Rhinolophus ferrumequinum: one gene and its partner. The protein of the gene in region 1 binds, or shares a complex with, the protein of each later gene. Links are inferred from orthologs where the notes say so. Each region holds a gene or a part of one and is shown on either strand. Other genes may lie near its edges.

Evidence for each region.
Region 2: the proteins of GRM5 (region 1) and HOMER1 are in contact, whole or in part, in a crystal structure (PDB 1DDV), measured with the Rattus norvegicus proteins. The link is inferred for Rhinolophus ferrumequinum from reciprocal best matches to the Homo sapiens genes GRM5 and HOMER1. Residues at the interface, in XP_006229721.1 of Rattus norvegicus: Thr1155, Pro1156, Pro1157, Phe1160; in NP_113895.1 of Rattus norvegicus: His12, Phe14, Trp24, Thr70, Ser71, Gln72, Lys73, Phe74, Gly89, Phe90.

What each region holds. Positions count from the first base shown.
Region 1 is NC_046294.1:61,185,040-61,193,159, forward strand, and holds the start of GRM5 (metabotropic glutamate receptor 5), read right to left. Parts: upstream 3,517-8,120; 5' UTR 3,161-3,516; intron 1,166-3,160; exon of another isoform or gene 978-1,165; intron 1-977. UniProt on the Homo sapiens protein: G-protein coupled receptor for glutamate. Ligand binding causes a conformation change that triggers signaling via guanine nucleotide-binding proteins (G proteins) and modulates the activity of down-stream effectors.
Region 2 is NC_046290.1:51,146,481-51,155,403, forward strand, and holds the start of HOMER1 (homer protein homolog 1), read right to left. Parts: upstream 3,562-8,923; 5' UTR 2,279-3,561; coding exon 2,274-2,278; intron 1-2,273. UniProt on the Homo sapiens protein: Postsynaptic density scaffolding protein. Binds and cross-links cytoplasmic regions of GRM1, GRM5, ITPR1, DNM3, RYR1, RYR2, SHANK1 and SHANK3.

The DNA of each region.
Region 1 (8,120 bases):
CAATAAAACCACATGTGGGGAATGAAGAAGAAGGTGGAAGGGAGACTCTGCCTTCCCACTGGACTGTGTCAATTTCTTAGCGGGATGTAAAATGCTGAGAATCTATCTGCCTGGCTGCTCAAGCTTACAGTTCAGCTGAGGCTGTACCAAGATTGTGCCTAAATAAGCACAAGTGCTCCTTAACCTTGCCTCAATTTCCCTTCCCCACAGCACCTGCTCTGGAGGGAAATGGGAGCAGTGGGAAATTCCAGCACCGGTTCCAAGAACCCCCAGGTAGACTTTTCAAGTACATTGGTGAGGTTCCAAGTGCAGGTTAGGCTCTGGTCACCGGCTAGCTCGCGGGCCTGCCCTGGGTTCTTTCCCCAAGTCACTGTTTCCTGGGCTCCCTCCTCACCATGCTGCTCATGGTGCCGCTCCGGGGAAACTAGCAGGCTTTGTGTTAGAAGGGGAAGAAAGAAAGAGCGGGAGGGCGCAGACTGAGGTTTAGAAAGAGGCAAGCTAGCCTGTTTGAAAGAGCTGTGCTTTCAGCACCACCCGCTGTCCCCCTCTTCCTGTAGCAAGAGCTCGGGTCGCTGCAGCTAACCGAGCTATTGGGAAGCAACTCTCCTTCCTTTCCCTCTCTACCTGTTCTTCTCTCAATTCTGAGCCCTCGGGTGGTTTGGGGAAGCACAGTCTGCATTCTAAACACACGTACCTGGCTTTAGGGAGCGGGAACTCAGATCTGAAGGCATGCAGAGTCCCTTTCTCAACCTTGGCAGCTGTTCCTTCCTTTACCCATTGCTCTCGCTTTTACTCCCAACAGGTTTAATTAAGGCCACCAGCAAATGGAGCAGACTTCAATCTGGAGGTTCTGTCCACCCCCTGCTCCACCCTCATCCCCCTCCCCAAACCAAACTGTGAGCTACCCAGCAAGTTGAGAGCTCCTACATCCTTCCCAGCCAGGGACACTTAGGCACACAGACGCTTAGCAAGCTTACCCCCCTGTTGGCCGCGCAGCAGGCAGTGAGACACGGTCTAGCTAGCCCCCCTTAAAGTTGGGCTGTGTGGATCAGCTGGGCAGAGCCGGCCTCTCCAGTCCTGGGCTACCCCCCAAAGATGATCTTAAGCTCATCTCCTGCTCTCAGTGCTCGAAGAACAGCAGAGCTGAGGGCGGCTTGTGCAGCAATCTCCCTGCTACTGAGAAAGGGGAGAAGGGGGGAAGGGGAGAGTGCGGAGGCGGGAGGGGTGGTAGTTTGTATTTATAGAGAACAGAGTTCTCAGCGCAACTTTTTGGTGCCACCAAGTGGCACAGTGAGTTGCTTTAGGAACACAGACTTTGGGTCAATCTGGATAGGTAAACCAGCTCCAAGGCCAGATGCTCATATGGTGGGGGACTGCAGGAAGCACCCCTAGGACTTCAGTTTTCCTATGTGCACCTTCATATCTCAGCACCTGGAAAGGAGATCCCTAAGTTCTAAGAATGAGCTTGTATTGAGGGAGAAGTGATACCTGTGCCTTCTTCAGACAAGTGGCAGAGATGTCAAGGACACTGGACAGATGCCAGTTGCCTCCTAGGAATCTAGGAACCCTAGTCTCAGGAAGGATATCCATTTCCTTCTCCCTCCAACCCCTCTGCCCAGATTACAGTATTCTCAGATCTCACTCTAAAACCTTCTTCCTGCCATACTGAGTGCCCAACCTTTAAAATGGGATGCCATTCATTGTGTGTGTGTGTGTGTGTGTGTGTGTGTGTGTTAGAATCAATTCCAGATTATTTCCCAAATGCTCAAATTGAAAGAACTTCATAGCTTGCGACCAATTCTCCTATAATTGCTACCTTAAAAAAAGCATGTGACTTTAGTCTCCGCGGACCTGAACCTCTCCAAATGGCACTCAGCACTCCGGCTCCCATGGCTATAGCCTGCGTTTCTGATTGTCCTGTTGCCCGTTTCTACAGACCTCTCCGCATGCATTACAACAACAGGACAGCCAGGAGCCTGCAAATGCCTTTGCTACTTTGAGGAAAAATGCCCTGAAGCTTCCTTTTTCTGGATTTTCTGGGTGCTCTTCCGTCCTTGTATGCAGATACGCAAACCCATACAATCATAGACACTATTGCATGGGACCTTAGTGTCCCAAAACACAGAAGAACCTCTACATTTTTCACATGGAGAAACACAGAGGTTAAGGAACTCTTTCAAGGTCACACGTTTCCCTAGAGACCAACTCAGGGGCTACTCAGGGTGGAACTGAATGAACACAGTGATGCCACGCCTGACTTCCAGGCTCCTGCTCCTTTTACCTCCCCACACAGCCCATTCAGTCCCATTCAGTTCCCTTCTCTTCCCTCTCTCTCCTCACAGCCCTTACTCTAACCTCATCCTTTGCCAAAGTTCCATAAAGGAACCGAAAGATGTCTTCCTAGCCCCAGTGGGAGGACATGAACTTGAGCTTATAGGTCCAGAGTGGCATGTGTAACCCCTTAAAATGGCCCCCTGTTCTAGAAAACCTCTCCTTCCTGTTCGTGTAGTCATGGAAGTGTCATATTAGAAATGGAACACTGGCATTCATACCCAACACGGTCCCTTCTTTTGCTGCCTCTTTTTCGGGTGAAGCAACAGCAGAGGCTTTTATAGCTCCCCAAACACCTAATGACCTCGAATAGAGAGAAGCCCTCTCCCTACATAAATGCACCCCTTGTGCACATGCCTGGATGAGAGAGAGAGAGAGAGAGAGAGAGAGAGAGAGAGAGAGAGAGAGAGAGAGAGAGAGGTGCAAACACCTCCTTTGGCTCAGATCTCTGATTTTTTTTTTAGTTCGTTTTCTATGGAAACGAGCCCACTTAAATCCCTCACTTATGCAAGTAAAAGCAAAATCATCTTCATAAACCTTTCATTGGAGCAATGCCGTTGTAGCCTGGTCTTCTGACTAGAAATTCATGTCTGATTCACACAGCACATGTCCTTGCAGGGTGACTTTTCTAAACTTGCAGGACCTCGCAGCGTCCCTGGCTCCACCAGTTCTCCACCTGCCCACCACCTGCCCTCCTGGGTCCCTTCGCTCAAGCTCCCGCCCCTTGCCTGAATGCTGTCCAGCCTTGTGCTGGGGGAGGGGCTCCGGCCGTATCCCTACATGCGTGTTGATTCTAGAGCTGAAAGAAAGAAAAACGCGCCGTGCTTACCAGGTGCGCGCCCTGAGCCGGGCGCCCCCAGCCAGCCGCTCCTCGCGGGCTTCCTGCGCTCCTTTAGCGGCCTTGGCTGCGGCGGGAGCGCTAGCGGTGGCGATGGAGGCAGCGGTAGCAGCGGGCGGAGCGGCTCCGGGCCCGCGGCGGTGGCGCTCGCTCTCCCGCGCCAGCGCTGGGAGCACGTGCCGCACTCTGGCAGCCGCAGCTGGAAGCGCAGCGCCTACTCCTGCAGCGCGCGGCGGGGGGCGGTCGGCCCTCCAGGGTACCGACTCGGTGGGTGACAAGTGTCCTGAAGCTTCATAGTCTCGGCGTGCTGAAGAGGGTAGCCTCAGGTTCCCTCTGCAGCTCCTCAGCTTCCCTCCTGGAGCCGCCGAAAGAGAAGAGCTGTGTGGGGAGGCGTGGGTGGTATGTCACTCAGAGCAGCTGGGGGAGCAGGTAGATGATAAGCCTCTCTCTGCCGATGGCACTTAAGTGATTGGGAAAAGGGGCGTCACTGCTGGAGGGTAGGGAGAACCAGGAAGTCAGGGAACCCCAAAATGATTCAGAGGTGTGAGTGGTTAGAAAGAACGGTCTCTTTAATGGTACGACTTATTAATAATGCCATTTTGCATGTCTGCCCTTCTTACAAATGATTCTTTCTACATCCATTAAAATTTCTTCCTTCAAAGCAGTTAAATATCTTTTACTTCCTCAGATGACTTTGCTTCCCTTCCCCCATCATCCCTATAACTCACCAAGACTGTAAAAAAAAATGCTGAGGTTATCTTTCAATTCCCAAAGCACTTAATTTCTGCTTCTGCAAAAGAGATTGGTGTAAATTAATTGCATGACTTAATTTAAAGAAAAGAAAGACATTGTAGTGATATGATAATTCCCACTATATTTCCTTAGCTGAATTTTGGGAGCCAAATATTGCAGCAATTGGATGAAATATTAAAAATGAAGACACTGAAGTCGAGGGGGTTGGTCCTGATACATAAACTACTAATGTACCTTTCCCACCAGACCCTTGAAAACAAGGCAAGTTCCTTGATAACTTCAGGATTCAACAAGAAAAAGGAAAAAGATATGTATCTACCACACCTTGTTGATTATTACAATGGCACATTTTCATGTGTACTCTGATGGTGGCATTCATTTTTGAAATTCTTTGATTACAATCCACAAAGCAAGCTTTGTAGAGAGGCCAGAAAAGCTGTGGTTGATCTTCCTGAATAAGAAAGATGAGAAAGATGGTATAAATGAGAAAATACAAAAAAAAAAAAAAAAAAAAAAAAGTGAGAGCGTTCTGAGGAAAATTAACAGTAACTAATGACCAGGTGATTCTGGAGATGTAATTAAATCTGATATGTATAATGGTTTGCTAGCCCAATTTGCTGGAGCATCGGCATTGAGGATGAGGTCATAGATTTGATCCTTGTCTGGGACACTTAGCTTTGAGTGAACATAGGACACACCGAGTTCCCCATCCTTCTTCATCAGTTGGAATGGGCTCAAAGTACACAACGTGTGTGAGCTGAGCTCAGGTAAAAAGGGTTCTAATGGTGAACACTCAGTCACTTAAACTCTTCAATTTCCTACAAGTATTTTGTTCCCTGCTGTCTCCCAGGGTTATGGAGAAGCTTGGATGAGATAAGACATGTCAAAGCCTGTCAGAAATGATAAAGCACTCCATAAAGGTAATTTATTGTTTACCAAGATACTTCCTGTGCTCTAAAAGCTAAAATGTAAAGGACATTCCCAATGTTGAACCGTAGTGATATTTTCAGATAAGAAGAAAAACAAAATTATGTAATCTTAAATTGTTCAGTGACATTTTACAATATTGCTTTACCTCTTAACTGTAAAGTGCTGAATTAGGTAAAATTAAAATTAAAAGGAGTATAGAAACAATGTTTTAAGTTCCCAAAATAAGTACTAATTGTAAATTGCTCAAGGGTATGACTTTTGCCTTAGGATGAGCTATCAATAAGCAAAATATTGTAATTCTTGTGTAGAATAGTAAAAATGAATGAAAAGAGTCATTTATATTTATAATTGATTAGTTTAAAATTTGGAATTTTCATCAGTTCCTCTCTTTCTCTCACACATGACAATTTGTCAGGACATCCTCTTGAATCTACCTTCAAAATATCTCCAGAATCCTACCACTTCTAATCACCTTCACAGATACCATGTTGAATCGAGCCACCATCATCTTTTACCTGGTTACAGCAATAGCTTCCAACAAGTCTTTCAGCTTCTTTACTTTTTCTTTACAGGTTATATTCAATACAGCAGCCAGCGTGTACTTTGCAAGAAGTTAACTTAAATCAAAACCCTCCAATAACTTTCCATTTCACTCAGTCAAAGCCCAAGTCTTTCCTATTATGCTTCATAATCTGTCTCCACTCCATTACCTTTCTGACCTCATTTCCTAGTACTCTCCCCCTTTGCTCATTCTACTTCAGCCACCAAGACTCCCTTGCTATTTCTTAAACATGCCTGACATGCTTCAATTTAGTGGTCTTTGCATTAGCTGTTTCTTCTGCTTGGAATGCTCTGTTCCCACATAACCACTGGGCTAACTTCTTTCCTTAAATTCTTTGCTAAAATCTTACCTCCCTAATGAGGCCTTCCCAGACTACCCTACTGTAAACTACTACACCTCATGATCTCAGTGCTCTTCTTGATCCCCTTTATACAGCTCTATGTTTGCCCCGTTATCTCTTACTACAGTCTAATATACTAAATAATTTATTAATTTGTTATGATTATTATTTATTGTCTGTCTCTTCCCTTCCTTCTTATTACAATGTAAACTCCTCAAGGAAAGAAATCTTTGTTTATTTTACCTATATACTCTCAATAATCAGAAGAAAATTCTGGCACATAGAAACTACTCAATAAATATATTTGAATGTTTAAATAAATACTTAAGAAAATAGAGGTATACATGTTCCATGCTGACCTTCATTTTCCTATTTGCTATCACTGACAGTAAATCATGTGAATATTTATAGGAGGTTTGCAAGACTACTGAAAGACAACACTTCTTTCCAACCTGGGTACACTTACCCACCTCTTACATTCAGTTTTTCCATTTGTGTTTCTTAAACTTAGCTAGCTCACATTCTAGAGTCCAAAAGGATTATTGCAATTCTAAATGTTTTGCAACTCTGTGGTTATCTGAACCCATCAAATAACAGATTATAAATGGCTTTTTGAAATAATTTCTCTGAGGGAATATTTTTTCATTCACTTAATAAATACTCATCAAACATCTCTCTCTCTTTCTTTCTCTCTCTCTCTCTGCCAGTTACAATACAAAGACTGCAACAGAATGATGAATAAAATAAATATAGTATTGACTTTAGAAAACCTATGGTTATTAAGTATGTATGAGTGTATATATGTTTATTGATTCATTCATGCCATTTATTAGATATTTATTAAACTACTATGTATCAGGCATGGCTAGGTGTTGGGGATGCAATGGTGAATGGAATAAATTCAAGTAAGAGGCACACAAACAACAAACTAACTAACATGTCTTGTAACTGGTGTGAGGTACAGTAAAGAATTGAACAACTTATAAAGAACAGCAAAGCATAAGAAGGACCCTAGGCATCTTGTTTGTTTAGGACAGTCAGAAAATCTCTCTGAGACAGTAATATTTAGTAAAGATGCAAAAGAATCAACTTGCAAAGAATATCGTCTGTGTATTGTGTGGGTTGTGGGTAAGAAGAGATGATTAACCAGAGGGAGGGAAGAAAGGAAGGGGGTTACAGGCATAGTGAATAACAGCTGGAACTTCAGAGACAGGAGAACACTTACCATGTTTTGAAAACTGAAAAGACATTGGTGTTGATGAAGTAGAGCTTGGAAAACCTTCACTATATCTCAGATTGCTCAACTGCAAAATGGAGGTTGTTTTTATTTAATAAATTTACCTGATTTTATTTAATAACTTTATCAGCCTACTTTCTAAATGTGAATGAGGCAATTATATATGAAAGTCATTGGAAATAGAAAATGAAAACAATGAAGAAAGAGGAGGTGACAAACACAGAAATTATTGTGACTAATATAGTATCTATGGTCTACCAGAACACATTTAGTTATGAGTTCACTAGAAAACACACAAAAAAGGGAAAATGTTTTACCTAATTATCATTATCTAATATTAGAAAATGAGTCAGTTCTTAGAAAAAAATGTTGTTGCTGCTATTACTAATTGCTAATATTATTACACAGACCCTTATATAAATGGCTCTTAAAAGCTCAATGTCTTCAAAAAGACTTTTACAGCAAATATAGAAACTTTTTTTCATATTACATGGTATTGTATAAAACTTCAATCCAAATTCCAGGCAAAACATGGAAATTTAACTCAAAGAAGTTATTATTTATGGGTCTAGTGTCACTTATATTTCTATTCTCCAGTCAAGACAGATTTAGAATGTGGCCCTGGAAATTTTTCAATTTGTCATGATACTGGGTAAAAAACTCTGTAACAAAAGAGCTTTATTGTCTCAGTACTTGGGAAACTACAACTACTTCCATCAGTGTTTTCTAAGACAAAGCCCTGTCCAACCAGCGCTCTTGGCATACATGTGGCAAACAGAGATACTCATCTTCTCACTGTGATCCCTGGTCATGCTTAACCCTGCCATCACAATATGCAAAGCACTCCCCTGAGAGCCCAGAGTGAATACCCAGATTCAATTAGACTTTGAGCCCTGATGCAAAGGCTGTGCCATAGTGCCTACTGGGTTTCAAGCCTAACAGCTTGACACTTGAAAACTGCCCCTTGCTCTTCTTTGAGTAGAGAACGTGGACAACCTACTGATCCTCAAAACCTTATTTCCCTATGTGGAAATAGGAAAGTAAAGTTTTAAAAATACCTAATTTCCATGGTTATACATAAAGTCATTTTGCAAACTAAAAAAGTATTATAGAGATCGCAGGAAAATCA
Region 2 (8,923 bases), on another chromosome or scaffold:
TATAACAGTCAAAAATATGTGAAAGTCTTCACTCACAATATTAAATTGTAGACGCCTGTCAGAGTAAGGTAATTTAGGATTGCCTGGGTAAAACATTTCCCAACCTGTTTCCCTTTGTTTTTAATAGGTGCAAGAGGCTATGCTTATTCCACACTTATTAGGGATAAACACCTACCAAGTGTAGAAAACTTCCACAAATGCCTTCTCTACATGCTCTTCCCTTCTACTTCCACCTATCCATCCCCTCTTGACAACTCAGCCGAAACAAGTCACTATCAATGAGAGTCATACCCCAAATATACGCTTTCAGAAAAATAATGCCATAAACACTCCTTTTCCTCTCCAGTCCACCTTTAAGACTTTATTAAGAAAAGGGCAAATAAAATGTTTTATAAAGAAATTTAATTACACCGATGTATCTAAAATATATGCTATGTGTGGGGTCTATTTGCATATATTAAATACGGTCACCTTAGTATTAAGTTCATCCCAAATTTCCCTTGGTAAAATGATGAGGATTCATGCAACTTAAAGGCTGTGGAAAACCAATTTTCTTCCATGATACTACCACTCCACAGACTAGAAAATGCAGCCTTCCACATGAAAAACTGCCAATTATTTTTTCCTCTGAAATGTTTTAAACAGAAGAGCTGCAGATTCTCAAGAGAAGCCATACTTCAATTGTTTTGAATAATAGTATTTTTCAGTATTTTCTCTTACTAAAATTGGTGCAATTCATCCAAAACATTTTCCAAATGTCATTGTTTTCCAGCTTGCGCGCTTAAAAGCTGCTTAGAGAAAACAATCTCTCCATCTGAAAGATTTACTTCAAGAAACCAATTAGTAATCACTAAAAAAGAAAGGAGAAAAAGAAAACAATTCACTTTTATAGACTGGAAAAAAAAAACTTTTAATTCATCCAAGTCCTTCATTTTACAGATAAGAAAACAAGTCTGTGGAGGTTAAGTAATTTGCCTCAGACCACAAAGCTACTAGTAACAGCACTAGAAATAGAATGAGGTATTTTAATTGCTTTTAATAGTACCCTAAATCATCCAAGTTACATATGTTCTCATCAGTTGTCATTTAAATTTTAAAATTACTGTTTTTTTTAATTAATTCCTGATGAAGGACTCCTACATATGTTCTACATTTTCAAACTTGTTCCATTTAATAAACTTCAAATTCTAACTCCAACAAATAAAGGTACTACTATCTAAGAACTTTCCTCTGAAAGTTTCAAGAAAATAAGTTTAGAGGTGCACACCCCTAAACTGTCACAATGATTTTAAAAGCACATACTTTCAATCACCATCCCTTAACTGTACTTTAGATATGTTTGTTCAACCACCACAAAAATAGGGAAGGTGGGTGAGGAAATCTGGAAGTTCCTCTTTGACAAAAAGCATCAATAATCTGTAAGTGAAATGACTAGATCATTACTCCATTAATAAATTATGGGTTTCTGACTTAAATTAGGAAGTCACTAACATTTTATCAAGTTACTGTGTGAAGAGTTAATAAAAGGTTGGAAAATGCACTCTTGGTTGACTTTGGATCTGAAAGAAGGTGAAGAGCTGACACTGTTAACACAAATTGAAGACCCGAGCTTAAAAGCAAAAAATAGAAGTGAACACATTCCTTTAATAAAAAGCTCTTTCCTGTTCAAGCTCTGATCTACCAAGTGCACCCGCCCTGTGGAGGCCACATCAGTAAGACTTTCAGATTTTCGTTTTAATGCCCCAATAAATCAATTCTGCACTTTTTAGCTTTGGCTACTCAAGGGCAAAGCAGAGGGCAAAGAGGGCAACAATTTACATTGGCTCATTTTCAAGTACTGTAGTCTAACCACTCATTAGTTTACAATTGTTTCTTTGTGCAACTGATTGATTATTCTCAAAGCACTAAGAGAATGCAGTACTGTAAGTACTTCTCTGAAAGACACCGGCAACAAAACCTAAGACAACATGATTTTGATTACAAACTGATGCGGCAGTTGGAACAGTAAAACACAAGTGTGTTGTCTTCTTAATCATTACTTCTAAAATATTACTATGTTTGTTTCTTAACTATGACCTCCGGTATCACTCTACAAAAAAAAAAAATGTTAAAAGGTTAACACACCTATACTTTTAAAGTATGGCCAGCTTAGCAAGGTGGCAAATTTGAAAACATAAAACACAGACAATCTCCAATCCACCACTGATCAATAACACACACAGACACACACACATACACAGATTCGGAGCTGTGTTAAGCACAAAAATCCTTACCCCATTTTGCCCAGTGAAAACTTGCTCTGAAGTTTCTGCTCTTATGCTACGGAATAGAACTTCCAAAGGAATTTCTCCGTCTGCTATTTCGCAGTTGCTTTTCCACCCCCCGAGGTCCTTTTCTGGAGGTATGTGGCAATTCAATTAGTTCTCTTAGGTAAAATGATTTCTCTCTCGTAAATACCAAAACGTTCAAACAAAGGTGGCATTTGCTTTTGAGTTAAAATGCTGCGCGGAGAAGACAGCGGTCAACCCTATTCCACAAAATGAGTCTATGAGTTGGAAAACGCAGAATCCAGCTTCACCGAATCCTACAAAAAGAGTTCCGTGTTCATTTCGCTCACGTCCTCCTCCACAGTCAGAGAGCCAGGTAACTCGGTCTTTTCGGTGCTAAGGCTGCAGGTTCAAATTTCTCTACCACACCAGGTCCCTGGGGGTGGAGCGTGCAACCCAATGCGACGTGCACTTGAGAGATCCCTAAGAGAAAATAAAAATCCTAAAAGCAGTAATGCTTCTGCTTCCCTGCGCTCACATTAGAAAAAGCTATATAGAAAAATCTCCTCCAAGTGCAAACCCGGCAGCTCGCGACGTGCACGGCACTCCACATTGGAATCTGTCTTAAATTTCTCCTCTCTTAAGACTCGAAGCAGAGAGGAGGTGGGGAGGAAGAAGAGAAGGCTGGGCAGGATCGATTCATTCTCCCGAGAATAAACGGAGCCATTTCCAGGCTGGCAGCAGGCTGGGGGCGCAGCGCACACAAGAGAGCAGAGGGAGGGGGCCCGATCCCACCTCCCTCAGCCCCTTCCCGCCCCCCGCCGCCGAGCACAATGGAGCCCGGATCGCGCCTGGCCCTTCATTCGCCGCTGCCCCCTCTTCCCTCCTCTCTTCCGAGCACCGCAGGTCGGCGGAGAATGAATGAATCAGAGAGCCAAGCTCCACGCCGCCCCCGGCACCCTGCGCCCCGCTCCGGGGCGGGCCGAGCAGGGGAGGACTGGGCTGAAGGATCGACGGGCGCTAATTCCACGTCGGGAGCAGGGGAGCCGGCCTCGAAGCCGCCGGAGAGCGGCTGCTCCGGTGCCCCCACCCCTGCTCCTCGCCTCTCACGCTCCGCGCCGCCGCCACGCGCCGCCTCCTCACACTTCCATCACCGCCCGCCTCCGCCGGTCTCCAGCTCCCGCTCAGCAGAGCAGCGCCGACCCGGGTGGCCCTGAAGCCCGCTGCTGCCTCCGCCTTCACCGGCCGCTCGCAGAGCGGAGGGCGCCCGTTCCCGGGTCAGCGCCGCCCGCGTGAGCCGATCGCGGCGGCAGAGCTGGCTGCGGGGGGGTGGGGGTGGGGGACGGGGCGGGGAGAACGGGGGGCGAGAGCTGTCCCTCCCCCTGCTCGCGGGAGAGGGCGGGAGGCAGCCGATGCCGCGGAGACGCGGCCGGGCGCCGGGGGCTGGGTCGCTGACAGTCCCGAGAGGCCGGAGGGGCCCTGCGTGCAGCAGGAGGAGGCAGCAGCCGCGAGGACGGCGGGAAGGCTGGTGCTCAGCAGCCGAGCCGGCCCGCGTGGGGAGCTAGTCGGGCCGGCAGGTCCGTCAGTCCGTCCTTCCTAACCCCCTCCCCTAGTGGCTGGCGGCGGGAGCACTGTGCGCTCTGCTGCTCCGCTGGCTCCTGGCCCCGCTCCCGGCCGCCACAGCCTCCTCCGCACCCCACACCAGGTGCTCGCGCTGTGTCTCCATCCTCCCCGCAGGAGGACCTTTAAATAGCAACGTCAGCGCGCTCTTCTCCGCACACTCGTCACCCGCCGCTCACGTCACCGGGGTGCGGGGGATGATGTCACGCGGCCGGAAGTACTGCTAAATTAGGGAAGGAGCAGGGGGAGGAGGACTCGGCGAGCTCCTCTGTACCCACCTGCTCTCGCTTATCCTTAAAGGCCAAAGCACAGGAGACAGCCTGAAAGGAGCTTGGAGAAGGAAGCGGCGGCGGCGATTTCCTCGCAACAAATGTGCCAAACGCGAGTGAATCATTCATAGCAACGGTACCGAAGTGTCAAGCGGGTGATATCCTATCTCCCACTCCCACCTCTGTTGCAGAAGCATCCCCAGGCTTTTCAAGTTCCAACTAGCACGGAAATGTGGGAGGAAAGCCTGATCACCAGTGCTAGATATATTCCCAACAAAACTTGGGAAAAATCACCATAATTTTCTAAAGTTATTAAATGCCCTTCTGGACATAGTTGATTTTAAAACACCCCTCCCCCCCGCCAGCTTACTGATACTTAAATCACGAAAAGAATAAAGAGCAGAATCATCAGCAAATGTTATAATGTTACAAAAGATAGTAACCCAAGGGGAAGGGGGAGAAGGCCATCAAATGATCTCAGTGTTTACATTTGCACAACAGCAAACTTCTGGCATAGGATAATAAGTCAATCCTAACTTAGAAAGTTCACTCATAATTATCGTTATAGATGCCAGTATACCCTTTAAATTCTGGTTTATCAAGAATATAAGTTCCAGTCTATGGAAATTAAAACTAAGATCACCAAATTCTTTTCAACAGTAACACAAGCACATTTAGATTATTTTTGTCTTCCTTAGTTTTGGCCGTAGAATATATCATTAAAGTACCTCTTAAGTATGTGTTTTTCATTTCCTATATTTCATTTCTTATAAGCCACTTATAAGTTTACTAGTTGTGTGTGTATAATAAATAATATAACAAATGCTTCTCAAGTTACAAATTACTACAAAATCTTAAATTGTCATTACTTTGATAGTTTGTTAGGTAGACTTAACTAATCAACTTTGATTTGATTTAATTTGATAGTCATGACCCAGAAATAGAATTACTACATAATGCCAAAGGCCATTGCTATTTCAGAGTTAGTCTATAAATTCAGTGACCACATTGTCCAAACCCAGACACATCATTTGACAATAGACAAAATATTTGAAATCTGAAGTAACCTTGAAAATCCAGGGCATAGGATTACCAACATATAAACTGATTGTTAGAAGAGCTATAAATGGATACCAATGCAGTTTAAATAAAAGAAATTAAAACGCTACAGAATTTATACCCTGTGTGGCTTTTTAAAAAATGGTTTTTAATATCAAACTACTGACATGATTCCCAATTAAGGAATATTGGTTTTATAGCTTTCTGCATCTACATTTTCTTGATCAAGTTAGGAGCCCAATATTAAAGGACACCAGCCAAAATAGGACCAATTTGTAACTAAATCAGGCTTTCTGGTTATCTTCACATTATAAAATCATGATCTCGCTTATAATTTGAAATAGTGAAAGTAGTTTTGGGACGGCTGGATGGCTCAGTTGGTTAGAGCACGAGCGCTGAACAACAGGGTTGCTGGTTGGATTCCCACATGGACCAGTGAGCTATGCCCTCCACAACTAGATTAAAGACAACAAGCTGACACTGAGCTTCCGGAGGGGCTGCCAGATGGCTCCGTTGGTTAAGAGCACAGAGCTCTCAACAACAAGATTGACGGTTCAATTCCCACATGGGATGGTGGGTTGCACCCCCTGCAACTAGATTGAAAATGGAATGGTGGGCTGCGCCCCATACAACCAGACTGAAAATGGTGACTGGTCTTGGAGCTGAGCTGCGCCCTCCACAACTAGATTGAAGGACAACCACTTGGAGCTGATGGGCCCTGGAGAAACACACTGTTCCCCAATATTCCCCAATAAAAATAAAAAAAAAATTTAAAGTCTTAAAAAAAAGTAGTTTTGTTTTTTGCTTTTTGTGTTTGTTTTTTAGGGTTATAACAAAGGTTATTCAAAAGCAAACTCCTGCTTGACAATTTATTTAATATATATTGTCATGTTAGTAAAAACTTGTACTAAATTATATTTCAGATAAATGGAGCTTCTTATGTATAAAATATTAAAACAATAAAACTGTCATTCTTCAAATAATGTCATCCCTTGGCCCTTGCAAATTAAAATAAAAATTAAGTTATTACTCTACTAAAATTTCTCTACAAATTATTTCCTATCTGAACTAAATTACTTTTCTCTTTCCTGCTCTTTCTGTCCATGTTAAGTCAAGCTCTCACTTTGTCATTATCAAACACTTCATTCTCCCCTTTTATCATGACTCCTCCTGGTTTACAATCTTATTCCCCCTCATCTTTACCCAACTGTCAAAACAGCATATCAACTGCATCCGTGCTTTCAGAATGCTGACCCTTCATTAGGGTTTCTACCTTTCAAAGCTATATGACCTCTTCTCAACTGCTCTTTTGTCAACTGAAAATTGAGAGCAACCTTTTTCTATATAAATCTAATGGTGCATTGTGATAGAATTACTCAAAGTTTATGCGATTATTTAACTTCAGCTCCTGCTTTTACTCTAGAAAATTCTGCCAATAATTGGTCAATGTTTCTTTCTAGTTTGTGTGGGTTTAGTATATCAGGGAATACATATGTACCCAAAGGAATAAGACATTTTATGTTTCATTGAATATCTTCCCATAAAAAAATAATAAAGTAAATGCCCCTTTCTCCTCCTTAAACAATTCTAATACAATTTTGAGAGGAGTCAGAGAACCAGTCTATGGCTTTCCATGAAAATTAAATATCTTTTCTCCTAAAACTGAGCTGCTGTAACCCAAATGCTAGCCATGAATTTCTAACCCTAATTGTATGTGTTTTAAAGTAGTGAACTTTCTAGAAAGTGATGTATTTTCTTTTTCTGGAAGAGGAAGAAAGTACTTTAGCAGAGTTTCAAATTTTTCACAGTTCCTGTTTCCCACTACACTCTGAAAATTTGTGGAGAGGTTCATGAATACCCTCTGATTTTAGAATCTGTGGGCTGGAGGCATCTGTTTTAGTTACAGAGTTTACTTCCATGCCCTTAATAGGAGATGGCAGTATTCAATGGATGTTCATAGATTGGTCATGAGATATGTCTTTTTCAATGAAAAGACATTTAGGAGATAGAAAAACTTTGCAAGGAAGAGGGTTAAAGCCACATTTTATTTTTAATTGCTTAGCATTAGATGATAGCAACTCCCTTCCAAGTTCCCTCTTTTTAATGACCAAAATTCCACTACTGCTTCAAGTAAAGGTAGAAATAAAAGATATCTCTACATACAATAGAAATCTTAAGATTTCTAGTTATGAAGTTTTAGTCTTTCCTAGCAAAGACTGAAAGTAATGATTAAAAAAAAAAAAAAGAAAGAGTGGTAGGGAAACAGAATTTATCCAGTTAATTCTCCAAAGTCATCCCACCTCCTCCACAATATAGCAGATATTGGGTGCCAGTAAAATGTTTTTGGCCTGTTCAAAACCATCTTTTATTATTATCTTTAATGTTCTGAACAGAAACAGAGTAGTTAATAGTCTTAAGGGTGGAAGTATAAGTGTTTGGCATCTCCAAGACAATGACTCGAGGACAAATTTTACTCTTCTGAATGTGTGCACTGTTTCATCAAAGGGTTTGGGAATGATGGACGGAGGGAAGTTAGAAAATGTCCTCAGGAACGATATGATGTAGAGTGCATGGGAAATGATCTCATAGGACTATCTTGCTCTGATCTCTTGCTCTGATTTTTACTGTAAATTCATTGTTTTCTAAATATGGTCATTAAAGAGATACAAATATAATCTCAGACTTATGAAAGAACATACCAGAAAGTTTTCAGTTGGTGCTGTGAGAAAATTATTGTACAACTACATATGTAAGTTTGTTAAACATTCAGAAAAGATGGGGATATGGTTCCTTTGAAATAATTATCTGGCTTAACTGCAGGCTGTTTGGTTGGTTGGTTGATTGTTCTAAACAGCAGTTGCAGAGAACAGGCTGTAAAAGATGCAGATCTGCAGAGAGCTACAGTAAAGAACGTGGAGTAAAGCTTGGGCTATACCTGTGCCGTTACTTAGAATGGAATGCTGTGGAAGCTGATTGCCATGGTAACCAGTAATCTTTTTCCTGAATGGAGGAACAGAACAGCCATGAGGAAAATATTTTAAATTAGCTACCTTATTTTGTCATTCCTTTGGTGCCAGCTAGGAAGAAAACAACACCCAAGGTATTTAGGACAGCTATGCTTATGAAAGGAAGTTGCCTTCTTATCAAAGAGATAAGGCCGGGGCAAAAAAATTTAGACTATTTCAAAGAGAGATGGGGGTTTAAGATGGCAATTGGAAACTCTCTGAAGCAGAACATAATTGGTAAAGACTCTGAAATAGCTAAAGCGAGCAGATGCAATATCTAGAAACTGTATTAAAGGTTCTCCCAAACATAAGATGTCAGAATAAATAAAAATTACTAACATTTGGGAGTTTCAGCCAAGATATTTGATGAGTTATTCGTGAGGCTTTTTATTTTTTTAATCTGGTTCTAAATAATAATTTATCTAAAACTTAAAATAGCAATGGTAAATATATCTTTAGTTAATATCTATTCTATTATTTTAATGATGAATTATATTTTATCATATACATAATAAATACGTATATAGACATACATGTAAATAGAGATAGATAGGTCTATATTATATACCTGTGTTGACTGGATCATCTGCTAAAATGCCTTATCCTTAGAATAAAATCCAAACTCCACGCCTTGGCCTAAGAGGCACAGCTTGATGGGCACCTGAGATCCTTTCTTACCTTGATTATCACCCCCCACCCTCCC